Linked DNA regions of Struthio camelus. The protein of the gene in region 1 interacts with the protein of each later gene in a pairwise test. Links are inferred from orthologs where the notes say so. Each region holds a gene or a part of one and is shown in the gene's direction. Other genes may lie near its edges. The genes, in order: EFHC2, NCDN, CACNB4 and CCDC120.

The links.
Region 2: the proteins of EFHC2 (region 1) and NCDN interact in binary tests that used the Homo sapiens proteins (3 or more experiments, as listed by UniProt). The two-hybrid records come from large-scale screens. The link is inferred for Struthio camelus from reciprocal best matches to the Homo sapiens genes EFHC2 and NCDN.
Region 3: the proteins of EFHC2 (region 1) and CACNB4 interact in binary tests that used the Homo sapiens proteins (3 or more experiments, as listed by UniProt). The two-hybrid records come from large-scale screens. The link is inferred for Struthio camelus from reciprocal best matches to the Homo sapiens genes EFHC2 and CACNB4.
Region 4: the proteins of EFHC2 (region 1) and CCDC120 interact in binary tests that used the Homo sapiens proteins (3 or more experiments, as listed by UniProt). The link is inferred for Struthio camelus from reciprocal best matches to the Homo sapiens genes EFHC2 and CCDC120.

The regions. Positions count from the first base shown.
Region 1 is NC_090942.1:126,806,797-126,813,946, forward strand, and holds the start of EFHC2 (EF-hand domain-containing family member C2), read left to right. Parts: upstream 1-4,134; 5' UTR 4,135-4,328; coding exon 4,329-4,370; intron 4,371-4,691; exon of another isoform or gene 4,692-4,806; intron 4,807-7,150. UniProt on the Homo sapiens protein: Microtubule inner protein (MIP) part of the dynein-decorated doublet microtubules (DMTs) in cilia axoneme, which is required for motile cilia beating.
Region 2 is NC_090964.1:9,874,453-9,881,942, forward strand, and holds the start of NCDN (neurochondrin), read left to right. Parts: upstream 1-4,474; 5' UTR 4,475-4,574; coding exon of another isoform or gene 4,575-4,726; 5' UTR 4,727-5,067; exon of another isoform or gene 5,068-5,440; intron 5,441-5,560; exon of another isoform or gene 5,561-5,795; intron 5,796-5,836; exon of another isoform or gene 5,837-5,998; intron 5,999-6,456; 5' UTR 6,457-6,470; coding exon 6,471-6,593; intron 6,594-7,069; coding exon 7,070-7,490. Other genes in the region: KIAA0319L (dyslexia-associated protein KIAA0319-like protein homolog), read right to left, coding at 4,125-4,291, 4,575-4,726. UniProt on the Homo sapiens protein: Probably involved in signal transduction in the nervous system, via increasing cell surface localization of GRM5/mGluR5 and positively regulating its signaling. Required for the spatial learning process.
Region 3 is NC_090947.1:44,648,905-44,656,207, reverse strand, and holds the start of CACNB4 (voltage-dependent L-type calcium channel subunit beta-4), read left to right. Parts: upstream 1-4,288; 5' UTR 4,289-4,378; coding exon 4,379-4,387; intron 4,388-4,530; coding exon 4,531-4,614; intron 4,615-7,303. UniProt on the Homo sapiens protein: The beta subunit of voltage-dependent calcium channels contributes to the function of the calcium channel by increasing peak calcium current, shifting the voltage dependencies of activation and inactivation, modulating G protein inhibition and controlling the alpha-1 subunit membrane targeting.
Region 4 is NC_090979.1:318,895-326,875, reverse strand, and holds the start of CCDC120 (coiled-coil domain-containing protein 120), read left to right. Parts: upstream 1-4,976; 5' UTR 4,977-5,115; intron 5,116-5,121; exon of another isoform or gene 5,122-5,677; 5' UTR 5,678-5,721; coding exon 5,722-5,770; intron 5,771-6,406; coding exon 6,407-6,537; intron 6,538-7,256; coding exon 7,257-7,364; intron 7,365-7,963; coding exon 7,964-7,981. Other genes in the region: TFE3 (transcription factor E3), read right to left, coding at 1-26, 564-663, 978-1,079, 1,231-1,425, 1,775-2,042, 2,509-2,697, 4,130-4,260. UniProt on the Homo sapiens protein: Centriolar protein required for centriole subdistal appendage assembly and microtubule anchoring in interphase cells. Together with CCDC68, cooperate with subdistal appendage components ODF2, NIN and CEP170 for hierarchical subdistal appendage assembly.

The DNA.
Region 1 (7,150 bases):
TTCACATGCAAGCATGCCTTCAGGACTTGTTGAACTGGAGTATTAGCCACGGGCAGGTCATTCCAGCTAAGGAGACCTTCCAGTGAGACCAAGCTGGGACTAACTGCTTCTCTGTTCTCCTATTCTCTGCAGTATAACCAGAGAAAGAGGTTATGGGCCACGTACTGCTTGATACCTCGCTTTCTTGGGGTAGTGGAAAACTGCAGCAATGGTAAACTAAGTGACCTTGTGGTACGTGGCCAGCACAGACCACATAAATGCCACACAGATGCTGGATTTTTCCTGTGTGGGATGTGTGGGTTGTTTGGAGCGCTCCACAGCTGCAGCTAAAAATTATGGTCAGAGTGTTGTTTCGTGCCCTTTGAAGAAGTATTTTCAAATGCTACATGTTCATTGACTGGTGAAAACAAAATGAATGAGGTAATAAAAGAGATGGCAAAATATAAGGAATCAATATTTCTAAGGATCATTCATTGATTGTGATGGCACTGTGTTTGAAGAATGATAGTATGAGTTGACCCATATTACACTGCAGTGAATAGCCACTTCAGGAATTACCCTTTTTTCTCTTAAGTTAACTAGCTATCGTTAGGGCTGCAATTCTGCACGTGTGTGTGCGCGCGTGCACATGCTTAATTCTTCTATTCCTATTTCTGTGTGATTTCTGCGATGACTGTTTTGTGCTTGCCATTTTTCTAAGGAAGAACGTATCAATAGGCAAGAATTTTCCATTCTTAATTTTTGTTACCTACTTAAGTGTATGTTAGTTTCAGTTATGTTTAAGTCTGGGTGTGTGCTTGCCTGATAATCCATGCATGGCCATAATTCACTTTAAACTAGGCAGCCTGGGAACAACCTATTTTGGGCAGCCCAGCCTCAGCATGGCCTGTAAAACCAGTCCCAGGAAGAGGATGAAATAATATCTGTGACCGAAGCACAAACATACCTTTACAGTGAATAAAATAATTAAATAATGCTGATTTCAGTCAAACTTTCCTGGTGTATGCAAACTGACATAACTCCAGCAAAGATAAGTCTTTCCCCTTCACACTCTTGAATGATGTCCATTCCTGATGCAAGCGCAGATCACTGTTTGTTCTGAAGTAAAGGAAGTACAAATTAGGGAGTCATGTTCTGAAATATTATGTCATCCTAACTGAAAAACAAAGTGCTTATCACAGCTCCAATCAATACATGACTGGAACAGAAGTTTCAGTTCCCTGAAGAGTTCACAGAAGAGAGAGATATGAAACGTACTTGTTGGAGCTGGTCTTCCTCTCAAGTCAAACAGACTAAGAGTCCGGAAGTCTGGAGCCAATGACATTTGGTCAAATCCATACAGAAAGAGCAAAATGAGGCCTTTTCTGGAAAGTTGTAGTTTGCTCAGAAGTTTACAACTTGAATTCCTTTACTGATTTGGAGTTTGCTAGTAAATGTCAATTCCAATAAAAAGAGATTTGAATCTCTTTTTAACACTGAAATAATATCTTCCATGTTTTCTACAGCTTTAGCTTCCCTCCTGCTTTCTTCCTTCTTTAACTGTACAACTAATGTTGTCTTATGTACTTTCACCATTGTAACTATTATCCTTAAGAGTACTGTCAGAATATACAGTTAATTTACTATTGCCTACTGCTTGCCTTTGTTGTCATTAACAATCTTCATTTAATAAAACACTTTTATCAAAAATGGTTTTCCTGTAGGACTTTTATTTTTCCCAGAAAAGACATTAAAATTAATTTGTTTTCACTTGGTCTGTATTCTTGAGTGAATACTGCAAGGAACAAAAAAGATAACAATGCGAGAGAAACCCCAAAGGGAAGGTAATGTAAGAGAAAATGACTCAGTAGGATATACTTCCCCCCTCCCCCCACTTCTGAAAGCAAAACTTGATTGAAGTCTGGTAGAAAACATCACATTGCAAGCATGCTGTTGTGTACTGGGAGGATGCTTCCCTTCTTCACAGCTCCCTGTAGCTTCTTTATGGGATGAAGCAGAAGGTACTCCTATGCAGGAAAATTTGACCCACAAGTCAGGGACGATTCATGGGATTTTCTGTTGAAAATGCATCATACTCTCTGCTGATGCCATGTATTTCAGTATCCCTCCTAAAAAACTGCTGCTGTTTCCCTTGTACATCTTTCATACAGGTAGCCTCTGGCAGTATTGCCTGAAATCTTATTGCAACTGGTTATTATTGATACCAGAGGAGGACTCGGGCATTTCAACTGCCCTGCTATGTAATGAGAAACAAAAACTAAACAGGACATACTAGTTCTACAGAAAGAGTGAGGTGCAAAGATAGATACACTAATTTTTCACCACTGTGTGTTGATGATGGTTATTTTCCCAAATGAGAAGCTGTACTATTAGTGATATGGGGCTTATGGGGATTCTGTATAAAGAAGTAGCTATGCTGGTTCAAAAATCTCCAAAAGACATATACGTACACGCACATTCTAAAATGCTTTGGATCCATTTTATGAAGATCCTTTCCTTCTAATGAAAGCTGCCAAGCCGAAAGGTACTTTTTATGACTATGCCAGCAGTCTCCTGTACGACGTTTGTTAGATACATAAAGACATATTGGAAAGGATATTGGAGGATCACATGAACATACAAAGAACATCAGGAAACGCAGAAGTGGTCCACTGCTGAAGTACAGGAAAGTGTTGCATGCCCTGCAATAAGCCTTTCTGAATTTGTTTTTGCTCCTTCCTTTCTTCCTCCTTTTCCTCTTTCTTTCTCACTCTCTTTCTCTCTCTCTCTCTCTTTCCTCTTTTTGTAACTTATGGCAAAAATTGAAAATTTTTAACCGAAATTGCAATTTTTGATATCACAATATACTGACCACAGAACAATTCTGCTAGCAAACGCTGCACAAGTGCTCCATGGGAGCTTTAGAGGGAGTGCCTCCTAGACTCATTTAGACTGAATACGTTGCCCATGCTGTTCCACAAGCCTCTCTTCCAGGGAGGAGAGATGATATGTTATGGGAATTTCATGGTCTGATGCATCACAGAGTATGAAATATGGCAGGGGAGAATCACTCCATCTATGAGAATAAGGACATTAAGTAACTGAAGTATGGCTCCTCGGAGACAGCATGATGGCATATCAAAATTGAAATATTTGGGTTTCAGCTAACAATTTTGTCCATAAACTCATTTTTCTGTTAAAAATACTTCCAGTAGAGAAAAATATACACAAACAGCTTTAGGCAAAATGGAAGAACTTAACATAACGTGGTTGCTGGTCTCTGGAATATGCTTTGGAGGTGATCTGGAATGTATTTTCCCTTATTAACAAGGAAAATGTTAGTTCTATCAAAGAAAAAAACAACCCTCCCTTCCAAGCCATCCGTGAGGAACTCTCAGTATATTTTCTCTTTGAAATTTAAATTTGGGTGTAATACCACCCACTATATGAAGTGCATGTGATTAAAATGATGGTTCCTTTTATTTTCAATTAAAAAGTATTTTAAATGTTTACCTTTCCTTACTACAAATGCAAATGCAGGTGCATAATATAGCACTGGGAAACCAGAAAGTGAAAACCCACTGACCTAGTTTCCTGCTCTCAGTGGACTAAAATGCAAAAAACAAACAAAAACATGTAAAAGCATCTCCCCTCCTCCAAACCCGCCAGGGCCCCGAAGTCAAACAGGCGGTATAAAAAAGTCATGCAATGAAGAAGAAAAAAAAAAACACAAAAACCCACACATTAAAAATTAATCCATGCAGAAAACGGCAAACAGGGTGGGATCTGCCCCTCTCTGTGACCCTAGCTGCACAATTCTTTCGGGTGGAGGTGGTTTTTCAGCCAGACACGATTGCCCAGGGGAAGGAGGGGTCGCATACCTGCGCAGAGCATACACAGCTTTGGGGCGGAGGTAAGTTGGGGGAGATTTTACGAAGAAGCCGGCAGCGACATATGCCAAATAAACGCGCAGTCAGAGCCAACTCCGGCCACAGGCCGGCCGCGAACACCCCAACGCCCCCCCGGCGGGCCAGAACCGCCACCCTCACGAGCGCGGCCCCGCCCACCCTAGCGGCCCAACGGTCGCCACCGGGCAGCCCCGCCGGCCGGACAGGGGTAACGGCTGCGGGGCGGGGCGATCCCGGGCGGGGCGGGGATGGGCGGGGCCAGAACAAGCACCTCCCCCCGGGCTGGGGCGCGGCGGCCCCCTACCGCCCCCTGGCGGCTGGGCTGGGCGGGCGGGGGGGAAGGGAACTTTCTTCCGCTCCGCCCCTCGGTGACGTCGGCGGCCGGTCTCCGGGCAACGGAGCCCCCAACAGCGCGTGGCGGCGGCGGAGGAGGGGGCGGCGATGGCGCTGCCGCTCCTGCCCGGGGCCTCCTTCGACCGGAACGTGAGTGACGGCGGCCCCCGATCCCCCTTCCCGCCGCCGCGGGGAGGGCGCCGGGCCGGGCCGGGCCGGGCCGGGCGGGCGAGCGAGCGCTGCCCGTGGGGACCGCTGTGGCCGGGAGGCGCCGGGCTTTACCCCTCGGCGGGGAGCGGGCGGTTTCCGGCCCGCCCCGGCCTGTCCCGGCCCGCCCCGGCGGTCACGCCGCGGTTCCCCGGTGCTCCTGGCGTCCGGCGGTGCCCTGCGATGATGACACGCACGGCCTGGGGGAACACACAAGTTTAAAAAGCCGTGGTTTTTAAAAGTTTTTTTTTTTTTTTAAATCAGGCTTTTTTTTTTAAGCCTTTCACACATCCAGGAGATGAAAAGCAGGATATTGTTATACATATAAAATATCAGAACCCTCTTCCTTAATTTAAAAGTGGGAATACGTTGCAAATAGGTAAGCGTTGGATGTCTGGAACTCCTGCCGCATCTCTAACAAAGTGAAGTGGGGAGAGACAAGTATGCTGTAAATAAACTGAAAAGTTTCTGCAAAGCGGAAAAAAAATAGAAGTGATGATGTGGTTTTCAGAACTGCCAGTGCTATTAAGTACTCATAGCAGTGAATATATGAGAAGATTGTATTTTTATCGTGAGCTGCAATAGCGCCAAAAAAAAAAGGTTGCTATCACTACTTCAGGCTTGTTCAGCAAAAATAGCAAAAAATTTGCTGAATAGCATCTGCATCATTAAATAGTGCAGAAGGTAAGGAAGAATTTGGGCATGGCACTGTGGTTGATGCCTATGGGAGACAGATGAAACATAGTAGGCTTTCTTAATAATCTTAAAATGAAAGTATCCAGGAGGGAATCTCTTGTTCTCACACTTTGATCATGATGTGAGCATCGGAGCCCTAGTTTCTGCAGCTTGGCTGCTGAGGTGCTGCTGGCTTCTGAGTCTGTTCTGCTCAAAGAGTAAGATTATAGGGGGCAATAAGGTAATTGAGGTGAGATGCAGAGGCAGATAGAGTTTCCAAAATGATTTGTCAAGATGCATGTGTTAATGCCAATGATACCATGAGCGTGTCAGTACCCCTTTAATACGAGATGTCCCCGTGCTGTTAGCGTAGCTGGGAGCCCACTTTATGAGCAATGAATCCATCCACGTTAAGTGCAGTCCGGTGTAAAACCTCTGGCAGTCCTCTCTGCCAGCTGGGGGCAACCGTAGCTGCCCAGGTCACTGCTGCACAGTACTCATACAGGGAACGTGCAACTGTGTAGACACATGTGGACTCCTCAGCCAGATTTGGTGTGTCAGCATTGCATGGATGCACCCAGACACAGGTCCTCTTGCAGCAGAAGCCCAGCTTACAAGCAGTGAGGATCTTTCAAGCAACTTATTCCCTACAAATAGCAGGTTGGGTGCTGTTGATTTAGAAGAAAAGGCTGCTGGTAGTTGCAGCCCTCCTCTTGTCTTTTTGTTGCTATGTCCACATGTGGTTAGAAAATGTGTATAAGAAAATTTCACTCCTGTGCCCCTATTTTCCTACCCATTTTATAATGTTCTTCTCTTACCTGAGGTACTGAATCTAGTTGCTGTTCTGTTCTGTTCTCGATTCTTTTATTTTTTTTTTTTTTACTGGAGAAGACGAGGGGATGCTCTAAAAGCATATACATTTCTCACTTGGCAACCTTTGTTAAGTCACTTCCTCTATCTCTCTCGCTGAATTCAATTCTGTACTGTAACAAATTGGTTGTGTATATGATGCTTCAGGTAGTGGCCAAGTGGGCACATGAGTAACATTGAAATAGATGTGTACCATTGTGAGGTGCTGGATGGAAGAAGAATAGCTCAGCTGTGTTACCCAGGACTTTATTGTTCTGCAGACTTCATTTGACCTTAATTGATAGGGAGTTTATGGAGTGTGATGGAGTTGTTGCTGGAGCTCCACAGCAGCAATGAGTTGGTTTTGTCTCCATTATGTCTCTATTTCTGGAGGTATGGCTTAGTGCTTGGCTTCATATGCTTGAGAAAAATTACTTATGTATAGTGAAGGACACTCCATGCTGAATTACATAAGTCTCAAAACATGTATGTTATGAGAGCTAAAGGTACTGTAAAACCATGCTTATACTGTTCTTAGGGCTCCAAATTGCTCTTTTTGTGCAGTCCTTGCTACAGTAGAGTTAATACTGACCATTGCCCTCTCTTGAAAAGCATTTCTATTGCTTTCTTCAGTTGTTGGCTGTTGGATTTTTTTTTTATATTGTTCCACTAATGAGGGTCCAAGAAGTACACATTTAAAGAAAAAAATTTTTGTCTACTACAGATACACTGAATAGGAAAAAAGTATTTACATCTGTTAGTAATCTGGGCATTGCCATCAGTGCCTCATATATAACACAGGAGTAGTAGTGGCAAAGTATTCCTTTAAGAAGGAAGGGCAGGGGACAGGTGACTGCTGTTCCTGTCAGTTCTCGCTTTATAATTATGAGTATTAATTCCACTCTAGCTCTTATCACGGCGCCTACTACTGCCAAAATCTTTGTTTGTCTTCCTCTAATGCTTCCACCTGCCTCTTACATAGGCCTACAAAGAAGGAGGGCCTATGAAGAAGGAAGGCAGGGGGAGAGGTGGATATATCCATTTTGTCTAACCTGGAGGTGCTTAGTAAGGAGACTGTGACTTTTCTGGAAACTGAGCTTTAAGGTAGTTAGGAACAAGGAGTCTAATTTGATGGCAATAGGGATTGGCTTTTGCAAATGGGGACTGAGAAATCCTTTCACAGCTCTTAGGTCTTTTTG
Region 2 (7,490 bases), on another chromosome or scaffold:
ATTAGCTTGTTTAAAATGAAAAGTGACAGTCAAATTCACGTACCTTTTGCGTAGAATCTCTTGCTACACCAGCAAAAATTTCAACCCAAAATGGGAACTCATACCCCCATGAAGGAGAGTTTGGTTTTGAGACATCAGAAAGGAGGAAGCAGAAGTTTTATTTATAGCTCATGTGTGAGGCCAGCTCAGCAAAGGCAGTCTGCAAACAGAGGGCTACAGAGTGCCAGCATCAGCTGCCACAGAACGCACTTGAGATGTGTGACCTCGCCACTGGGGACCCGTGCGCTCAGTGGGTTTCTGAACCCACAACTGCAAGGAGGGATGAAAAGCTTTTCACTCAAGAAAAGTCCAAATGCAATGTCTACATGAAACATTGCAGGTGCTCAACAGAAAGAGAAGCTCACGACAGCACCTTTAAAACCAGCACCATCCTTGTCACACTTCATCAACATAGAGCCCTTCCTTCGAGAGCAAGAAGTGGCAGCCTGCCTGCCCAGGGCCAACAGCTGACCTCATTACACTCTGAAGTGCTTGGCCTGAGAGTCACCCTGGGATGACACTGTGCACACAGGCAGGGACAGGCAGCTGGCACTAACCTGACGGGTCTGGAGTTGGGACAGAGTACAGGGAATGTATACACACACAAAGATTGGACTTTGGGAAACAAGTTACAAATGGAAGGATAATGCTGTTGCTGTGAATTTCAGAAGGATCTTATCCATTGAGTCAATTTAGTCTAAAAATTCACTTTCTTTTAAAGGTGAAGCACTGTCTCTAATGAACCCTGTGTGAAAGAGAAATACGCTACCCTGCTGTCCACATCTCTAACATTCTTCCTCCTCCTTGACAAATGCTCATCCATGCCTCCTCAGATGTCAGCCCTGGCTCATACATACCATACTAATTAAAGCTTGATACAGAGCCCAGTGAAATTCTTTGGGGGCTTTCTAACAGCAGACTTGGAAGTAAGCACAAAATGGGGCACACTTTAAAAAAAAAAAAAAAAGTACTCCCAGGGAAGACATCCGCTCTGAAAAATCCCTACATATACAAGTGTTAAATGTACTCATCTAAAATCTCAAACCTGAATCACTGTAGGCATCTCCTAGGTGTAACAGAGCCATGCCTACTGTTAAATCAAGGCGCACAGATTTAAATTGCACTTAGTCCAGATTTCATTTCTAAAGCTCTGCTAATGCTCACCTAGAACATGTTTATTTGAAACAAACCAAGATGGTTTCTGAAGTGCTGTATATGGATAGCTTAAAAATGAAATCACAGAAACAAGAGAAGTTAATATGCAAGTCATAATATGCTAGCACAGCACTATAGATGTATTTTTTTCACCCACCATACTAATTTTCATCTACGCAATTCCTGTGGTCTTTGGTGGGCATCACAGATCCACACAACTCTATTTAAAGGGCCATGGCAGAAAGCAAGTCTACACCTGTGTTGCATCTCTGGTCTGCCAGGAAAATTCACCTGGCCTGTTTACACCACACTTCTTTCTGTCCTGCAGGAACACGCTACTGGCTGAAATAATTGTTCTGATGAAAAGCCACCAACTGCTACTTGTAGTCTTCCAGCAGGACCTTCACTAGGTGGACATGTACCTGTAGCAAACGAAAAAAGGCAGCTGTGACTACAGCCAGAGCTACTAATTCAGCCCAGACCCAACTTTGACTGCTCCAGATCTTAAAAAACAAAACAAAACAAAACCATACATGGGGGTGGGGGAGGAAGGTTCACTAGAACCATTAATGCAGCCATCTCCTAGCTGCCTTCTCCAAGAGAGCAGACAGGCATCGCATAGGGCAGGACAGAAGACTGAGCAGCAGCTCTACTTACTATACACAATGTTGGGCATATGACAAGTCAGAGTCACGGCCCTTCGCTGCTATTAAAATAAGCTACATAGCAGAGCAGGAGGAATTGGGCACTACTGGTATAACGCAACATTTGTGGAAAGCTATAAGACAGAGCCACAAACAATCTGTTCAGTCTCTTCTACTTCCTGGTGCTGGACGCTATGCAACAGTGCACAGGATCTTCCGGATTGGTCAGGCTAGCAGAGCAGCAAATCTAGACACTGACAGCATCAGTGCCAGCACCTTCAGAGCAAAGCATAAGAAACCTCCCAGGAGGAATGTCCCTGAGGACAAGTTTTCTCCTAAACCCCAGCAGCCTACCCAGCTTACACAATAAAAATCACCTGACTGTTACAAACTGTGCATACTCAGCCATTTCCAAACAGCTTATTTATTTTAGTATATCAACAGATAAAATGCTGCCCTTCTCAACTTGCAGAGTTCCTGTTCCTGCTGAACAGTAGGTGAATGAAAGGGTTAAGTACAGTTTCTATGAATGAGCTCAGGTTCACAAGCTTATTTTGGCAGTTAATCTGATATCAATAGGCATTAATGATTAAAGGCTCGACTGTATAGGCTTTTTCTAATCTGTTACGTGCAACCAATTATGTCAATATAGTTCCTCTTATGTAAGTCTGCATGATTGCACCGATTTCTAAATAACCATGATTCCTCTTCAGTTTAACTCTGCTGGATAAGTGACTCAGATGAAAACCAAAAGAACATGGACTCCAGCGTGGAAAAAGATCCACGTAAGCAGAGCTATGTCACAAATAATTATATTTGTTTCTATACACACATCAGCCTCCATGGTTCTAACTCTCCCAAGTATACAAGCCCTCAAATGCTGTAGCGCTGTATGGAACACCCTGTTAGCACAACATATGATCTGCAGCTCTTGCTCTAGGCTTCTGAAATATTACTAAAGACAGGAAACACTAAGCAGGAAGTCCAGTTCACAAGGAAACATGCAATCCATCAGATACACCAACAAAACACTAAGTACCGAGCACACTTTGCTAAGAACAGAAATATAAATGCATCTTTCCAGGTTCTAAATCAGTAGATTAAGGTCACACAACTGATTAGCTTAATCAAATCTACCACTTGGTAAGTATCCAGGAAAGCCCAGTGAAACAGGGACTCTGTAGCAGCCTACAACACATCCACCCATGGAGAGAAAAGAATAGGAAAAAAAAAAGAAAAAATAAAGTAAAATCTGCTTTTCATATCATGCTAACATTAAGATGTGGCAACCTTCCAGCAAGGTCAAAGCAGTCGGCAGCTGTCACACAGGTTAATTATATATCGAAGTCACCACTGTCTCAAACCTATAGTTCACCACAATTTGAACAAAACCAAAACACACAGTATAAACTTTCTTATCTTCACTAACATTTGGTAAGTGCTAGGTACACACACGGGAAGAACACATCATCATCTTCGTAAATATTTGGCCCCAAAAGCACTCACAGGAACTTAACACTTCTGTCTGAAAAGTCAGACTCTGAACCTTTTTAATACAAAACCAAAAAGAAACAAAAAAAAAAATCCATCATATGAAAATGTCCATACAAGTCACCAATCTGGTTATTTACTTGGGCAGGAGGATGGTTGCTCAAATTTGGACAGGAAATAAATACCAAGCACAACAATTATGCGTAGGTAAATTCAGATTATTGATACACTGTGTTTGTGGGGAAGTCTTTAATATTAGACTGCTGGAAAACACTCTTGGCTTCTCAAACAAGTTCAAGTATTCCTTAGATGAAATTATTTTCCCAGAATATCGCTTATTCCTTTTGCAAAAAAAAAAAAAAAAAAGAAAACAGATTCTCAGCTGAGCTTTATGCAATGCAGGCAAATGCCTGAGAGCAAACACGAAGCACGAAGAACCCCAACATTAGCTGTATGGAACAGACAGACACTTTACTGCAGACACACTGGTGCTGGCTACTTTGTATTCACAATAGCAGATGGCTATTAGAATGATACAGTGTTATAAAAAGTCCCCTCATCTCTTCACTACCTAGTGTTTTGGATACACTACCTTTTTGATAGCTTATTCAGTAACAAACTGCCAAGATTATTTTACCAGCTACTCTGCCTAACAGCTAATAATTTCACCTTCTTTTCTGAATATTTTTATTAAATGAGAAGGATAAACCTTCTTTTCTGAATATTTTTATTAAATGAGAAGGATAAATATAAATAAAAATAGAGATACAGTCCCAGGGAGAACAGAAAAGTCACCTGTTGAGGAGCACAAGGCACACAGGCAAGCACATAAGTAGAACAGGTGCAGACTTCCCAGATGCCTCGCAGGTTTTCCCAGGCAGTATTGTGATAAAAACCGATTGCCGATGCTGAACTTGACTTCCAACTTTTTCTCCATGGCCTTTGTGGGTAGCAACAGGGCTCTAGAAACACATAAGAAAGAGAAAACACGTATCAGCAATTGGTATGTTTTTGCAAGGACCCAGCCAACAAAGTGATGAGCACGGAACATTTGTGCAGGAAAGGGAATGTCTAATCTTATCTGCTGTGACTTAGTCCAACTGCTGCTAAGGAACTATCAGTATTGCAACACTGAAATGAAACCTGAAGTAGCAAAGTTTCCAGCTGTTCAACTGCAGCACACGACCATCTCAGCCCCATGATCTCCCCTCCAGACCACACCACTTCTGCAGATGGAGCACTAACCGCAAAACATCTAGTACCGTAACACACTGAATTTCAGAGATGCATTCGGGAAACTTCAGTTTCGAATACGCCATGGGCAAGAGGTACCCAGTTGGCTCTGCTAGCATAAGACAGACACTGACAAACCCAGTACAGCTGCTGGGCGATGTCATCAGCTGCACGTCAGTGCTGGCTGGTACCAACCAGAAACAAAGAGAGAAAAGAACACAGCAACGCGGAGAAACAAGCAGCTAAAGAGCTATTTTGCCCTATATTTCGCTCTGCAGGGCACACATGAGGACAGCACTGATGATCGTTCTCAGCGTTTCTAACCCTGATGTGAAACCCAAGCCAGCTAAAGGAGCGCTCAGATTCCTCTGCGGAATGCATGACAGGAAAACAAAGTGTTACAAGAAATAAACACTTCCCGTTTTTCAAGGAGTAGTGGAGCATCATTAGGCACAAGGAATTAGATCGGCCGTTTCTGAAGAATCAACGGGGAACGTTATCGGAGGTCTGATTACTAGTCTACCGTTTAAAAACCCTTTTTCTGTAACGAGAGAACGGGCTCAAGCCCCGGGCAGCGAACAGCGGGAACAGCAGGCTACGCTGACGCCCGCAAGAGACGCGAAAAGCAAATTCCACGGGGCTCGGCGGGGAATAAAGCAAAGCCGCGGGCGTCTGGCCCACGCGTGGCTACGGAAACCGCCCGCGCCCAACTCCTCCGGTTTGTCGCCACCTATTCAAACGAACCCGACGCCCAGCGAGGCGGGAGCGGCCGGCGGGGCCTGCCCGGGCCGCGGCGGGGCGAGGGCGGCGGCGGCACGTACCAGGGGTGCGCGGTGAGGCGGGCGGGGCTGCTGGCGGGCGGCAGGGGGCGGGCGGCGGGGCCGGGGCTCCAGCGCGCCGGGCCGGGGGGCGGCGCGGCCTCCTGCGCCGCGGCCATGGGGGCGGCTGGCGGCGGCGGGCGCCCGCTCACCTCTCACCCGGAAGCGCACCGCCGCCCCTCCGGAAGCGGAAGTGACTCTGCCGGCGCCGCCCCGCCCGCCTCCTGCCAGTGTCGGTGCTCCCGCCGCGAGCCGGCTGCCGCCTCCCGCCAGAGCCGCGGCCACGGGCCACGCGGCGCCGCCGCCGCCGCCTCTCCCACAGCGACCGGGCGAGGGCGGCGCGGCACCGCCGCCGGCGAGCTGCCCACACGCCGCGCGGGGGCGGCGGCGGCTTCGGTGACCGCCTAAGACCGCGGTAGGCGATTGGCCGGCGCCGAGCGCGCGGCCCGCGGATTGGCTGGGAGGCGGGGCGAGGCCCGCGTGCTCCGTGCCCGAGCGGCGGCGGAGGCCGGGGCAGGGGCCGGGATCGGGAACCCATTTTAACCGTATGATCTCTCTCTTTATCAAAGTGCTGATCTGAAATAATTTCCTTTCCTTAGTGCTAGCGTAGGATTCCAGGTATAAAGCTACAGGCCCCTGCAATATCAGATCCAACTATGTCTTCCAAAGCAATCAGTCATAAGACGTCAGACGCTATTTGAAACCTCAAGTTTCAAAACAAGATCCCTGCTGCATGTAGTAGAATGAGTCCTTGATGTCTGCAGCCAACTATTTTTGCAGCTGATTATATGTGTAGCAGCTTGTATGGCTACAGATCTTATTTACTAACCATAAATAATGCAGTTCATCTTAAAATCTAACTACTAGTGTTGATTCCTCAGTCTCCTTTCAGCAAGGACGTTTTCAGGAAGGCACACGTTGAGTAGAGGAGCATTTCTTATTAATATAATTGAATATCTCCTAATTCTCTATGTAGGGGCTAGGGAAGAGCAGAGGATATGCTCATTTTTCACTGCAGCTCTTTTATCTTCCCATCTATTTCTGTTTTGCTAAACGCTGGCTTTCTGCATTTGCAGCTGAACTGATCACCATGGCTTCAAACTCTGGAGCTGCTCCCAGTGCTGAAGGATCCAGAAATTTAACTTTGAAAAGGTGCCTTGATGTGCTCAGGGATGCAAAAAACGACAGCGAGCAGTTTGCAGCCTTGCTTCTGGTAAGAATCTGCTTTGGGATAATGCCACTGAGTGTAATCGCTTCAGAAGAACACAGGCCTGGCTGCTCTCTGATAGACAGCCTGGCTGGAAAAGCAAGTAGAGAAGGCAAAACTTGCTCTTAGCCCGGAGCGTTTGAGATGAGAATGCCTGAGTTTTGTTTTCAGCTGTGCTTGCTGACATGTTGGGAGTTTGGGGGCAAGATGCTTCAAGTGCTTATACCCTGATGTTCCCGCTAGCAAAAGGGACATAGCCTCTCCTTTCCCTGGGTGTCCTGAGCATTAATCAACACCTCTTGAAGCACTCTGGTAAAGCTGTGGATTAGAACTTTGACCAAGTACCCAGCTCAGTGGTCGGGGAATCACTTTTCTGTACAGATGAAAGTTCTTTATGCTTCTTATTTACCTGTTCAACCTTGTAAAGAGCCTTAGCAAAGCCTCTTCTTATGCTGCCCACTCGCCCCTGCTTTATCTTGCAGGTCACCAAAGCAGTCAGAGCAGGAGAAGTAGACTCTAAGACCCGTCGCCAGATCTTTGATGCAATTGGATTCACGTTTCCGAATCGCCTGCTCACCTCCCGGGAGCCCCCGGCAGGCTGCCCAGAGCACATGTTCCAGGCGCTTGGCCTTACCCTGCTGGCGTGTTTCTGCACCGATCCAGAGTTAGCTGGCCACTCCCAGATCCTGAACAAGATCCCAACCTTCAATGACATCCTGGTTTCCCCCTGTAATCCGGACAGTTCATCCATGGTCGATGATGTGTACCAGTGTCTGACTGCTGTCATGGCCACTCCCAGGGGCCCCAAAGAGTTGGTGTCCAAAGGAACAGTGTCTGCCCTCTGCCAGGCCTATGTGAATTGCAGTTATGGCTCTGACCGTGCCTTGCAGCTGCTTATGGGGC
Region 3 (7,303 bases), on another chromosome or scaffold:
TTTTGTATTTAAATTTGTGCAATTGGAAGGAAGCTTTTGTCTTTCCTTTTGACATGACATTAATTTGTCTTTATCCTTCCCCGTGAAGTAGCTTAGTATAAATAACACATGTTGCAATACTGAAGTATTTTGATAACTTGTTCCTTGTGTTCTTTAAAAAGAAGAATTAATTTCAATGCTGCTGTTCAAAATTCTTATCGTTGAGGAACTTTTTTGTAAAGAGTTTACTTTGTTCCAAACTGGTATGTAATCAAACTAAATCTTGCTATCATTTATGTAGAGTATCCACGTTTATTAGTAAAGGAGATAAAGGTAGGTATTTTTATTGGATTCAAAGATTTGATCCAACGGAAATATTGAGCAGTATCTTAAATTGCGAGAGCGAGACAGATGTGATTTGATTACATTTAGTTAATTATTTTATGAAATATAAATAATGTATATACTCATTTGTCTGAGATTTTCTACGCAGCTACATATAAGCATACTGTTAAAGCCTGAAATTTTATAAAAGCAGGATCTGCCATTCTGTCATCTCTTATATTCCTTATTCTGTGATATGCAACTTGTAGATAGTGTAAAATAATTTAATTATTAAAATTGTGTATTTAGAGGGTTTTGGTGTTAAAAGGATCTGTTTTTTCTCTTCATACTTCTATACATTATCATATTTATTTTTAAGGCCTGATTGTAACGGAACATGCTGCCAAAGGATTTATCTAACTTCAGATTTCTACATTAGGTTTATACCTACTGTTTTATATCAGGAATCAATGGTAGATAACTTCTGCTTTTTCATATAAACTCTTATTGTTTAACATAGAAGTTTGTGCAACTTTATAATGAGAATTTTATTGTAATATATTTGTTTCATGGGTGTTGAAAATATCAATACTAGATAAACTTTCTTCTAGTATGAGTTTGCAAGCTATTATGTCTAAGTTATAGTCCGCTGAAAGCAACAATTTAATTTGTCTTTAATATCACCATGCAGAGATGTGTTTTGGGAAATCTTAATGTTTCATATAGCCTTGATGTGACTTAGGCATTGTCTATTTAATTTGTTATAGAAATTACAATATTAAAAAATATAATGGGTTCTGTAACAGGTAAACCTTAAAATAATGTTCTGTGTTCATTTTACTTTGGCTTTTCTTTGTAAATGTTGACTCGTGGAATAGCGTAATCCTTCTGAAGGCTGTCCTTTAGCAAGGAGAGCTGGGGGGTCATGACTGTGCTGCAATCTCTTAGTCGTTATTTTCTGATAGGAAGATTTTTCTTTTTTTAATCTATGCATCTTTTCTAAGAAATAATAGGCACTACTCTTGCTTACACTGAACACTGTGATGTGTCTGTTGAATGAATAACTTTTTAGAATTTGTGGCTCTTACCAGTTACATTTTACATGAAGCTAACTGAAACTGTTTTGAATTGGAAAAGATGAAAAATGAAGGAAAGAGAAATGGGGCAGGTTCTGAGCACTCTTGAATTTTCTGTTAGAGTCACTGGAATTGTAGCATCTGCCGATCTGCTAGCTAGTGATCTGGCCCCCAAGGTTACACCATGCCGGAACTTTAAATTCAGATTAAGGTTCCACTTCTGTTTTGTCTGGGGTTTGAGTTGAACATCTGTTGGTTAATAGATGTATCGCAGTTCTTGCAGAAAATCATCCTAAAGAGTTTGCAGCCTTAAGAGTAAAGGGATGTGTTTTATTGGAGTACCCATCTGGCCTCTTGTCTGCAATGTGTGTGCATTGCCTTGTGTGAATAAAGCAAATTTGTTTAACAACACAGGTGAGGAGTTTTCTGTTCATGGCATGGTGAAATCCTTGCCAGAGAGAAGAGGCAGAGGCGACACGAGACGCTGCTGGCAGCGGATGGTTGCGTGAATGTCGCGGCTCCGGCCCTGGCGGACCCTGCTGTGCCCTCCGCTGGCTCTGCCCTCCCCATATTGGCGGTGGCACGTCGGCCACCAGCTCCAGCTCATCCTCTTCCAACCCGGTATCAGCAAAGCTAGTGCTCTGGAAGAGACTCCTTATTTCGGAGCTGTGCTACGTTCCCCTCTGTTGATGAGCTTTTCTAATTGGGAACCAGTGCTCTGTTACCTTTAATTGCCTATAAGCTAGGCTTAGTGTGCGAGAGTGACAATACTGCTACATGTTGGGTGTTAATTGTGGAATCAAAGAGGAACAACTGATAAATACCAGTGCTACTACACTTCACCACAAATGACGTGTTCATATAAACAAATACACTGCTCTTAGGATGTGCAATACAATCAAATTTTAAGAGCCACGATTCATTACGGCTTACAGTGGGTTTTCAAGGAGACGCTAAACAGTCTATCCAAAAATATTTCTAGCACGCACAAAATAACTCCTTATGCTTTGAAGATATCCTCTACTAATGCTGTGAATGGACTCCAACACAATGCATGCACTTGGTAACAACTTATATTAATTATTATTCAGATATTTAAACCATTGTATTCCACCATTCATTTACAACATCCTTTTGAGTTACTAACCCCCATGGCTTCATTTCAGGTCACGTTACACAGTAAATCTACATCTTACCAAAGCAAAGCACTTACTAAATTATTGGCAAAAGCAATACTTAAGCCTTGTTTTTCCTTTCAAATCTCAGCCTAGACATTGCTATGTCTTGCTAAAATGAGAAGGTGACGTGCTTAATTTTCTGGACAGTATCTTAATTTGGGAAGCCAGCCATGTACTCAGGCATGCTAATGTTTAAAGAAAAGTATCCTTCCTAGTGCTGGTTTAATGATTAAACAATTTAAAAAAATCTAATTTAGACTAGAGCGTTCATGACCCACATTCGTCTTGGATAAAGAAACCAGGCTGCCTAATTTCACCCAAGGCATTTGCAAAAATCTACAGTTTGTGTCTACAGCGGGAGAGAAAGACGTGTTTGCTGTGTGCTGCAGGCGTTCCCCAGAGGGGCGCGTGCGCTGCAGGTAGCCGGTGGAGATCACTTTTCAGAGCCTGATTTGGGCCCGTCGCTCAGACGTTTGCCTTGACGCTGCTTTGGTTTCACGCGCCGGTTTCCTTAGCTGCACGAATCCTTGCTGAAAACTGAAGGCTGCAGCGAATGCCTGGGAAGGGATGGCCTACAAACGTAGATAAAGTCGTCACCCCGTGCATTAGAGGAAATGGTAGCGCTTTGATACGTCTGTACGCTTTCCTTCTCTATCCGTTTCCTGGTTAGTTGAAAAAAAATTTTTTTTTGGAGAGGGGGCTGCTCAACGCTGCTTGGTTTAACAGTGAGATCAGCTCATTTCAGTGGGAGGTGCAAGCTACTTGTAGTTAAAGCACAGGAGTGGGAAGCAGGAAAGCCAGGTCCTGTTTCCAATTCTTCCCCAGATTTCCTGCTAAACTTCACGTTAATCACTTAATCTCTGGTTTTATTTTTATTCCTCTGCAAATTGCAGCGCTCTTGATGCATGGCAGTCGGTGCAAATTAGCGCTGTGACGGGTGCTCGGGAAGTGCTAGGTGGCACCGCACGGGAGGCCCAAGGGTGCCCTTTTAAACGGCTGGAATGGTTTCAGCGCCGTTTCAGGTTAAAGAGGTCAAACTGGGTTCACAGTCCAGTACCGGTCCGTAGCATCTGCAGCCTGAGTCTGCCAAGGTGCCGTGCGTGGGACGTGGCGCAACGCAGCTCTCCGGGACGGATGGGGACGATCACCGGTTTGCGCGGCAAAATGAACACCGTCACGTTAGCTACGGCGATGGCCGTTAGTTTACGAGCCCGAATAAATTGCACGGCTTCGCCTAAGCAGACGACGCGGGGGGCTCCCGCCCTGCGCCGAGCTCCGCCAACCTCACCCCGGCTCAGGGCTCAACCGCAGCCCCGGCGTCGACGCTCAGCCGCTATCGCCTCGGCCGGCCCGGCCGCTCCCCCGTGCCTCGGGGACCCCCGGTTTCGGCTGCCCCCCTTCCACCCAGCCAGGGGAAACGGCTTCTCCGCGTGGAGGGGTGCGGGGGTGTCGCCTTGGCGGGGGCCGCTGCCGCCGCTGCCTCAGGGGCCGCGGTTCCCGCCTCGGGCGGCGCCGCCTCAGGGCCCGCGGTTCCCGCCTCAGGGGCCGCCGCCGCCGCCGCCTCAGGGGCCGCGGTTCCCGCCTCAGGGGGCGCCGCCGCCTCAGGGGCCGCGGTTCCCGCCTCGGGCGGCGCCATCTCGCGAGCCGCCCCCCGAGGGGCCGCGCCGCCGCCGCCGCCGCCGGAGGAGCCGCCCGCCGCTCCCGCCCCTCAGGTAGCTCTGCTCCCGCCCTGCCTCCTCCCTCCTCCTCCTCGCCCTGCCCCTCGGCGCGCTCGCTCGCCGGCAGGCAGCAGGCAGCCCCGCCGTGCCGATCCTCGCTGTCATGGCTGCGGTGGGTGCCGCTGCGTGGGGGCGGCCGGGCCGGGTCGGGTCGGGTCGGGGATGGCAGTGCGGGGTGGGGTGGGGTGGGGTGGGGTGGGGTGGGGGGGTCAGGCCGGCGGCGCGACCCTCATGTCTTCGCCTTCCCCGGCGCAGGTGACGAGGGGCACGGCGACGCGCCGCAGCCGCCTGAAGCGCTCCGACGGCAGCACCACCTCCACCAGCTTCATCCTGCGGCAGGTGAGGCCGGGCGCGGCCGCGGGCCGGGCGGGCGCTGCCGGCGGAGCGGCGCGGAGCGGGGCGGGAGCTGCTCGGGGCGCCGCCGCCCCGGCCCCGGCCCGCGCCCTCGGGGCCGCCCCGCGCTGCGCCGCTCCGCGCCGCCCCGAGGGCAGGTCGGCGCCCGGAGCCCGCTGCCCCCACCGGGGGCTGCGCGCAGAGCGCGGTGTGCTTTTTGCGTCTTTATTCCTTATCTTGTGTGTGCGTGTGTGGTTTTGTCCCCCTTGAAATACCTAAAATCGCAACTTATTTTCATACCTGGGGTCAGGCCAGCGTGCTTCACGTTCCCTGCTAAAATCGTGTATATATGCACACGCACACGTATATATCGTATATAATCATATATATATATATTTATGTGTGTGTGTATATGTATGTGTATATATAAAATATATATATTTTTTCTCCTTGCACTGCCTAAAAGTCATTTGGGAGAGCGCTGGGGTTGGTTGCCTCCCCGGCTCGCGCCGCGGAGCGCCCCGGCAGGAGTTCCCGGCCTCTTTCCGCTGGCGGCGTTAGGGAACGGCGCTCTCCTGCGTGGTGAGCCAGCCTTAGTAAACCGTTGGAAACGACTTGAAGACGTCCACGGATAACGTTTATTTGGCTTATTGCGTAGCTTCGTTTTAAATCGCGAGCACAAATCTCCTTGAGGCAGAAGCAAAGTTAGCAAAGTTTGGGGATTTGGACTCGCTCGTGTTCTTCTTTTGTTGTGATCAAAGTGGTTTGTTTTTTTTTTTTTGTTTTTAAGCACTGAGTTTAGGAGGGTTTTTGTGCTGCTGTTAGCACTGCTTTGAGAGCCCCGCTGTGGGGGACCGTGCGGCTCGGGGCCTCGCTCTGTGCGCACAGAAGCTGTGGTTACTCGGTCTCCCTCTGTACCAGATTATCCCCGGCCTCTGGGGGAAGGTGAAACACAGGAGAGCTGGACTTAACGCTGTAAGCCCCGAGTGTCCAAGAATTGCGAGAGGGAGGCCTGAAAAAATCGGTCTGAAGTTAACGATTGCTTTAGAAATTAGGTTTATTGTGTTTGCCTTCCAGTTTCTAAGCCGCAGCTTGCGCTTTGGGCTGGTTTTCTAGGTATTCTCTGTAACAGCGAGGGCAGGAAATACACTTTTCGGAAAGCATGAAAGCTGGGACTTTAGAGGAGTTGAGGATTTTTGAAAAACATGCTTGCAATGCAGCGTCACGAGCACTGGCCTCTCGGTTTGGGGCTTCGGGCTTATTGGTGCTAATTATACAGTTGTCCTGCTTCCCCTGGCGTTGCAGGAGTAACGCTAGCAATTTAGATGAAGCCTCCTGCTAACAGTTACCTTTTCTTTTTCTGTTTCCAGTCTTAGCTCTTGTCTGTTAGCTCTCCCGCGATAAAGTAAAAACTAGTATCCTTAGTCTCACCGAAGCTTTACTTTCTCTCTTAAATGATGCTTGCTGGAGAAACTTTGTTAATTTGCTTTAAAAGTAAATGAGATGAACTGTTTCTGGAGATTATTCCTTTTTACGTACAAAAAATTTACCCGGAGCCTGAACCCGTGTACTCCACAGGCACCCAAATCTCTCAGTGCCATTCGCAGAAATTTAGGCAATTACAAGGAAAGCAGAACTGGGTCCTTGAAAAACCAGGGGCCGCGTGTCATGCGTAGAAGCGTGTTTCGCGCAGGACGTGGAAGTTGTCAGTTGGATTGGTCGGTCAGATAAGGAGATATAAATAACCCCGGCAAGGTTTCTGTGGTGTTCTCCGTTCATCCTTCCAGGCCAAGCCAGAATCGCAGCAATTTCCGACTGGCAGCCAGCCCTCGTTTCCAGCGGAGTCAAGCGCGACGTCACCGTAGCCCCAATGACAGTCGGGATCTGAAGCATAAGGTGGTCTCAGCCAAATAACTTAGAATTGCGACAGTGCTAAATAAATACGCAAGGCGTTTTATCCCCACTTTGTGCGTTGTGGCAGTTCAGCAGATGCTGTGGGCCCTTCTGGAGATGTCCCGAACGGTCTCGTCGGTTGTCAGAAGTGTCATTTGAAGGGGTGGGTTTTGGGTCATACTCGCATAGGCAATTACGGGCTTGATCTTCAGGTTTTTGACCTGCTGGGTTGGTTTCGTTTGTGATTTAGACGGACGCAGTGAGGATAACCGGCTTCACTCCGGAGCAGAGCACGCGGTGTCTGAAGCGCGAGTCCACGGCGTGGGGGTTTTGAGCCCTTGCGTGTGTGAGAGCTCACGCGAGTGCCCGGGAAGGCTGCTGCTTGTGGGCAGGAGCCTGGTTTTCAAACAAACTAGCAAGGTGTCCTATTTGAATTATGCTGCACCTAATACCTTTTTTTGGGGGTTCAAAATACGCTGAAACGTTTCCTGTGCTTGAGACCCTTCTGTGTGTCTCACGTTGCAGGGCTTGGGGTGCTCTGTAAGTACTGTAGTGTGTTTCAACGCATCCGTGTTTGCTGTCTTTGTTTCTGAAACCCCTCCTTGAAGGATTGCTTTATAGTAGATAATACACTAAAGCGGTGCTGCCATATACCTGAGGCCCTTCATTTTGGTCTAATTGAATTATAAATCACAGCTTGTACGTCTTGCATCCTACAGTTTACCGAATTCAAATGGGAACTGAAGTGCGCAAGGATTATTTAGTTGTCCTTTATAGAGCAAGCCCTGTGGTGGCCAAGGAT
Region 4 (7,981 bases), on another chromosome or scaffold:
CTTTAGCAGCGCCTTTGCCTCCGTCTCTGGGGGGCAGAAACCGTCATCAGCCCTCCACAGCCAGACCTGCCCCACGGGGACTCCCCCAGGGACCCCAGAGCCCCTCCTACCCCATAGGCACCCCTCAAGACCCCAATGACCCACCTAGATTTCTCCTGCACCACAGAGAACCCCCAGACCCCCAAGGACCCCCCCAGCTGCCTTCCTGCCCCATAGGAGTCCTCTTAGACCCACCTCTGCCCCAGAAGAACCTCCTCCAGACCCCTCCTATCCCTGAGCAACACCCCCTAGACCCCCACTAGACTCCTCCTGCCCCATAGAGACCCCATCCTGCCCCATAGGGCCCCCCAAGAACCCCCACAGCCCTCATCCTGCCCCATAGGAACACCCTCAGACCCCATCTTGCCCCATAGAAAACCTCTAGACATCATCCTGCCCCAAAGGGACCCCCCCCTAGATGGCACCCTATCCCATAGGGGCCTTCCCCAGCCCCTGTCCTCCCCCATAGCGACCCCCAGGGACCCTCCTAGCCCCCATCCTGCCCCACAGGAGCCCCTCCCTACCAGAGAGCTCGGCCTTGACACGGGGCAGCTCGGCAGGACAGGAGCTGCTGCCCCCTGCCGGGGGGCTGAACACCTCCAGGAGGGGCCCGGGGGCGGGGAGCTGAGGGGTGAGGGGGTGGGGTCAGTCGGGCCCTGCCCTCAAGGCCACACCCACCCCTAGCCCCCCCCCCCGACAGGCCCGTGGGGGGGCTGGAATGGGGCTGAGGCCATGCCTCCACTCAGACCACGCCCCTGCCCCTCCCCAGGCCATGCCCCCACCATATATGGACACAGGGTTAACCCCTGAGCCGTCTTCGGTCTCCTTTCCTTATATGGAGCAGCCACACCCCCCCCCCAACCAGCAAGGAGAGGCGTGGCTCTGGCTGGACCAGGCCCCCACGGGCCTTAAAGGGGCAGCGCCACCCCCTCACGCACCGTGCTGGGCAGCTGCAGGCCGCCCTCGGTAGGGCCGTAGCTCAGCAGCTCATCGTTGTAGCTCGACTCCAGGCTGATGATCTCATCGATGACGTCATCGATCTGGGGCAGGAGGCAGAAAGGCGGGGGGGTGTCACAACCCAGCGGAGCCTCCTGATAGGGGTCAGACTACTCCTCCCTAAAATCGCATGAAACTCCCCCAAATCGTGCAAAGCGCTCTCAAATCGTGTGGATCGCCGGGGCGGGCACCCACCTCCTTCTCGGAGCCGGAGCCGATGTGGAGCAGGGCGAGGGGGCTGTGGGGGGCGGCGGGGGCGGCGGGGGGCCCCGGCGGGCTGGGGGGGCCGCCGGCCGCCCGCCCCAGGGCCGAGCTCAGGTACTGGCGCACTTGCTGCCGCTGGGCTGCCCGCAGGTGGTAGCGCGTTGGGTTCTCCAGGTGGGTCTGCACCTGCGCGGGGCTGCGTCACCCCCCGGATCTGGGGGGTGGGGTGGGGCAGGACCCCCAATCCCCCAAATCCAGGTGGCTGGGGGGGCCCTGAGGCCCTGAATTCCCCCCATGCCCCTGCCCTCCCCACTTCCCAGCATGCACCAGGCTCCTCCATTTCCCAGCATGCCTCAGACCTCCAATTTCCCAGCATGTACTGGAGCCATCCCAGTCCTCCTCTATCCCAGCATCCCCTGCCCTCCCATTTTCCCAGCATGCCCCAGTCCTCCCCACCCCAGCATCTCCCATCCTCCCCTATCCCAGCATGCCCCAGCCCCCCACCACCCCACCATGCCGCAGGGCGCCAGCTGACCTTGAGGACCTCGGGGGGCACGTGGGGGGCAGGCCGGGGCAGGGGGGCGCCGACAGCGATGGCGGGCGAGGGGGTGGGGGGCGCGGGGGGCCCTGGCGGCCCCGGGGCGGCCTGGCGCTCCCGCCGCTCCTGCTCCTCCGCCTGCGCCCGCATCAGCTGCTGCCGCAGCAGCACCCGCGACGACATGGCCGCCTCTGGGCCCGGCCCGGGTGTGTCGCTGGGGGGCCCCGACGGCCCGGGGCTGGGGGAGGCCGTTAGTAGAGAGCCTCTGGGGGGGGGGGGAGATGGCTGCTGGGTGTGGCAAGATGGCTGCCGGGTGTGGCAAGATGGCTGCCAAGCGAGACAGGATGGCCATGGTGGGAGGGAAAACGGCCACCATGGGGGGCCAGAGCAGGGAAAATGGCCACCTTGGGGGTCTGTGGGAGGGAAGAGGCTGCCATGGCGGTCTGGGGGGGGGGGAAATGGCTGCCATGGGGGTCTGGGGGCTGGAAATGGCTGTGGGGGGCCTGAGAGCAGACACGGCCACCGAGGAAGGAGGTAGGAGGGCCACAGCGTCCGTGGGGGGCGTGAGTAAAATGGCTGTCTCACATGTGGGGGTGTGGGCAAGATGGCCACCACATGGGGCAAGATGGCAGCGCGCGTGGGGGCGTGGAAAGATGGCCACCACATGGGGCAAGATGGCAGCGCGCATGGGGGCATGGGAAGATGGCCGTCGCGGTGGGGGGCGGGGTTACCTGTGTGGGAGGGGCTGGGTCTTGAGGCAGCAGAAGGCAGCAGGGGTGGGGCCTGGTCCGGGGGCAGGGCCTGGTCCAGGTCCAGGGGCGGGGCCGGGCAGGGCTGGGGGGGAGCCGGGGGGCCCGGGGGGGCCGCGCTCCCACTCGATGTCGGCCACGATCCCCGACTCCGGCAGCGGCGAGCTCACGCTGTGGGGCACGCCTCAGCGCCGCCGCCGCCCCCCTGGTGCCCCCCGGATCCCTCGTAGATCCCCCCCAATCCCTCCATGATCCTTCATCGCTCCCCCATCCCTCCCAGGTCCCTCCTGGGTCTCCCCGCTCCCTCCCAGATCCCCCCAAACACCCCGGTCCTTCATGGATCCTCCTCCAACCACCCCAATCCCTCCCAGATCCCTCTGCTCCCTCCTAGACCCCCCCCCCCCATAATCCCTGGATCCTCTCACATCCGTTTGGATTTCCCTGATACCTCCTGGATCCCCCTGGATCCCTCCTAGTCCCCCCAAATCACCCCCTAGGTCCCCCCAGATCCCTTCTGGGTCCCCCAATCCCCACTTATCCCTCTGGATCCCCCCAATCACCCCAGATCCTCCCAGATCCCTCCTGATCCCCCCAAAGCCTTCCCCTGCCACTCAATCCCCCCAGATCTTCTCTGGATCCCCCTATCCCTTCTGTTCCCTGATACCCTGAGCCCCTCCCCATCCTTCAGCCCCCCTCAGATCCCCAGGGATCCCCCCCCAAATCCTGCTGAACCTCTCCCATCACTGGATCCCCCCGAACCCCCCGCCCTGCAGCACTGCTGGGGATCCCAGGGATCCTGCGACTGGGGGCGGTCCCAGAGGGGCTGGAGGGGTCCCAGGGGATATAGTGACTCAGGAAAGGGTCCCAAGGGGGTCGCAGGGGATCCCCGAGGGGATCAGGGGGACCTAGTGATGGGGGGAGCTCAGGGGGATGCTGGGGGATTTGAGGGGTCCCTGGGGGATCCTGTAGCTGGGAAGGAGGTCTCGAGGGGACCCGGAGGGCCCAGTGAGCGGAGGGACGTGGAAGGATCCCAGGGGAGCCAGTGGCTGAAAAGGGGATCCCGGAGGGGATCGGGGGGTCCTGTGAACAGGGGCGTCCCGGGGATCTGCTGACAGGTGGGGTGGGGTTGGGGGGATCCATGGGGAGCCAGCGACTGGGGAGATGTACTCGGGGGATCGGGGGGGGGGTCTCAGGAGGGATCCAGTGACAAGGGACAGGGGAGTCTTGGGGAATCCAGTGATGGGGAGAGGGGATCCCGGGGGATTGAAGGGGTCCAGTGACAGGGGGTCCCGGTGGGGTCAGGGGGTCCCAGAAGGGATTCAGTGACTGGGGGGTCCCGGGGGGGATCCAGTGACGGGAGAGGCCGGGGGACTGGGGGGATCCAGTGATTGGGGGGGTGCTGAGGGGGTCCCAAGGGGGCTGGGGGGATCCCAGGAGGGATCTAGGGGATCTGCAGGGACCCAGTAACCGAGGGGAGGGTCCGGAGGGGGTCAGGGGTCCCAGGAGGGATCCAGCGATGGGGAGGGGGGATCCAGGGGGACCTGGGGGGATCCAGTGACGGGGGGGTGCCGGGGGGATCCGGGGGCCCCGGCCGCCCGCTCACCTGAGCAGCCGGAGGCCGTCGGGGGCGCTGGGCTCCTCGAGCAGCAGGTAGACAGCGGGGCGGGCGGGGGGCGGCCCCGCTGGGGGGCCGGGGGGCGCCGTCGGGGCCCCCTCGGCCGCCCCGCGGGACATCGCCCCCGCCCCGCGCCCAACGGGCAGCTGCGGGGCTGACAGGAGCGGCGGGGGGCTGCTATGGGGCCAGCATGGCGGCTACGGGGCTGGCAGGGCTGCTGCGGGGCCGGGGCAGCCTCTACAGGGCCAGCGATGGGGCTGGGGGGAGCCTGGAGAGCGAGACCGCCGTGGGGAGGCCCAGGGGGCTGCTATGGGGCTGGGGCCACCATGGGGCAGGAGGAGGCTGCTATGGGGCTGAGGGGTCCCGGGAGGCCACTATGGGGCTGCGGGGGTCCCTGGGGGGCTGCTATGGGGCCGGAGGGGGTCTCGGGAGCTGCCGTGGGGCAGGAGCCTCCAGGGCTGGGCCCGAGCAGGCCAGCGGCAGGAAGTGGCGGGGGGGGGGGGAGCTGGGCAGGAAGTGACATCACGGGGGGGGGACAACAGGGGGGACCCTGAGTGGGGGGAGGCCAGACGCCTGGGCCCCTTCCCCCGGACGCCTGGGCCCACCCGGACGCCTGGGCCCCTCTCCCAGACGCTTGGGTTCCCCCCCACCGTCCTGGTGTCTCAGGCTGCCGCGTCCGCCTGCCCCCCCACGCGTGTGCCCCCCCGCCACCGCCCTGCACACGCGTGTGCGCGCCTGCGCCGTGCCGCCTGCCCGGCCGCCGCCCGCACACGCGTGTCGCACGCCCCGGGCCATGCACCCTCCCCCCCCCGGGACCGGCCGGGGGGGGGCACCGGCCCCCTGACCTCCCCCGGACCTGCAGGCACCACCACCACACGCGTGTGTGACCCCCCCCAGACACGCGTGTGCGACTCCTGGACACGTGTGTGCGCTGCCGCACTCCCTCCCCTCGGCCGGAGCCCCCCCGGGTTGAGGTAAGGGATGGGGGGGGCAGGGGCCCAGGGCATGATGGGATATTGGGGGGTCCCAGGGCATTGTGGGAAGGACTCCCCCCCACTGCCCCATGGATGGGGGGGGCTGGATGCCTGGGTCCCTTTGGGGGGGGGACACCCGGACACTTGGGCCCCTTGCGGGGGGCACCTGGATGCCTGAGTCCCTGAGGGGGGGAACTGACACCCGGACGCCTGGGCCCCTTATGGGGAGGGGGAGAGGGAGGGGTCTTCCAGACACCTAGATCGGGGGGGGGGAGGGGTGACCTGGACGCCTGGGCCCCCGGGGGAGGGGCCTGGCAGGCGGAAGCGGGAGGCGGAAATTGGGAGCCGGGGCGGAGGCGAGGGGGGAGCCGGACACCTGGGTCCCTTCCCCGGACACCTGGGTCCCTTCCCCGGCTGCCTGGGTCCCTTCCCCGGCCGCCTGGGTCCCCCTGGTCTCCTGGGTCTCCCTGGTCTCCCGGGCCCCCCGGACACCTGGGTCCCCTCTCTGGACACCTGGGCCCCTCCCCGGACACCTGGGCCCCCGGTGACGCAGTGGGCGCAGCGCGGCGCGGGGCTCATGGGTGCCGGCCTGCGGCACCCGCCAGCATGGAGGTGAGGGGCCACGTCCTCCCCACCGGCGCCTACAGCCCCACAGGTAGGAACCCCCCGACCCCGCCGTGCCCCCAACCCTCCCCCAGCGTCCCCCCTCCTGCCCCCATGGCGCCCTCTGACCCTGCAGTTGCCCCTTGACCCCACTGTGCCCTCTTGACCTCCAGGGAAACCCCCTGACCTCTGGTGGTGCCCCCCACACCCCCGCTGCCCTCTGACCCTGTGGCGCCCCCTGATCCTGCGGTTGCCCCTTGACCCCTGGCGGTTCCCCCTGACCCCTCTGTGCCCTCTTGACCCCCAGTGGCGGTGCCCCCTGACCTCTGGTGGTGCCCCCTGACCCCTGGGGGTGCCCCTCACACCCCTGCTGCCCTCTGACCTCGTGGTGCCCCCTGACCCCCCCGGCACTGCCCTCAACCTGCAGTGCCCCCTGACCCCCCAGTGCCCTCTGACCCCTGGTGGTGCCCCTTGACCCCCCTGCTGCCCTCTGACCCCCACACGGTGCCCCTTGACCCCCAACCCGACCCCCGTGTCATTCTGTTCTCTGACCTCATGGTGTCCCCTGACCCCTGACTGTGCCCCCCACCCCCCTGCTGCCCTCTGACCCCTTGCTGCCCCTGACCCCTGCCCCCCCGCCCGGGCGGTCGCCATGGTGACGCCACTGACCCTGCGGGGGGGCCGGCAGGCGGCGGGGGCCGGGGGGGGCCGGGGGGGGGCCCGGCCCGGCTGCAGGAGCTGCGCGAGCGGCAGCGGGGGCTGCGCCAGGCCCTGGGGCTGCGGCTGCAGGAGCTGCGACGCCTCTGCCGCCAGGAGGCCGTGAGTGACCCCTGACCCCCCCGCGGGGACCCCAAACCGACCTCCTACCCCAGGATCCCTATGGGCCCCCCAGACCCTCTAGACCCCCTATAGCCCCCCAGCATCCCCATAGGCCCCCCAGACCCCTGCCATAGCCCCCCGACTCCCCAGGACCCCCCCAGCCCCTCTAGACCCCCCACAGCACCCCTCTGGACCCCCCATAACACTCCCAGACCCCCATAGCACCCCTAGGACCCCCATGTGCCCCCCATGACCCCTCCTAGCCCCTCTAGACCCCCCACAGCACCCCCTGGACCCCCCATAGCACCCCCATATCCCCACAGATCCTCCCCAGGACCCCCATGGGCCCCCCTAGAACCCCCCACAGCCCCTCTAGACCCCCCACAGCACCCTCTGGACCCCCCTATAGCACCCCTATATCCCCACAGACCCCCCCCAGGACCCCCCACAGCCCCTCTAGACCCCCCCATAGCACCCTCTGGACCCCCCATAACACCCCCATATCCCCACAACCCCCCCAGAACTCCCATGGGCCCCCCCCAGAACCCCCCCATGACCCCTCTAGACCCCCCACAGCACCCCCGACCCCTATAGCACTCTCAGACCCCTCCAGACTTTCCCAAAGCATCTCCAGACCACCCCAGCACCCCCATGCCCCCTGCCGGACACTTCTAGGGCCCTCCCGGCCCCCTTGACAGCCCCCCGCGCCCCGTGCGCAGGAGCTGACGGGGAAGCTGCCCCCCGAGTATCCCCTGGAGCCGGGCGAGAGGCCCCAACCCCCCCCGCGGCGCCGCGCCGGGGCCCCCCCCCGCGGGCCCCTCACCGAGGTACAGCCTGGGGGGTGCTGGGGGAGCCCTGGGCAGTAAATAAGGAGAACTGGGGGGGGGTAATGGGGGGCCTGGGGGGAGAGAAGGGGGGGGGGTTGGAGCGGTCCTGAGGGGCATTTAGGGGCTGAGGGGCAATGGAGGGGTAACAGGGGCCTGGGGGGGGCAATGGGGGTCTTGGGGGGAAAGAGGGGCTGGGGGCACCCTAGGGGGGTAAATGGGGGTTCGGGGGGGCAACGGGAGTCCAAGGGGGAAATGAGTGGTTGAGGGGGTCCCCTGGGGTCTATGAGGGCCCCGGGCCCCCGTACCGAGCCTTCGTGTCCCACGCGGGCTCCCGTGCCGCCGCACTCCCCCACCCTGGCCACCGTCCCCCCTCCCCCTCCGCGTACCTGCCGGGCCTGGCGTGTCCCTGCCCGGTTACCGTACCCCTTCCGACTCCCTGTCCGGCCACCGTACCCCTCCCGTGTACCTGCCGGGCCTGGCGTGTCCCTGCCCGGTTACCGTACCCCTCCCGTGTCCCTGCCCGGCCGTCGTCCCGCTGCCCCGTGTCCCCGCCCCGCCGCCGCCCCGGGAGGCCCGGCACCCACCGGGCGGCCCCGCAGGCGGCGCGGGCGGCGCGG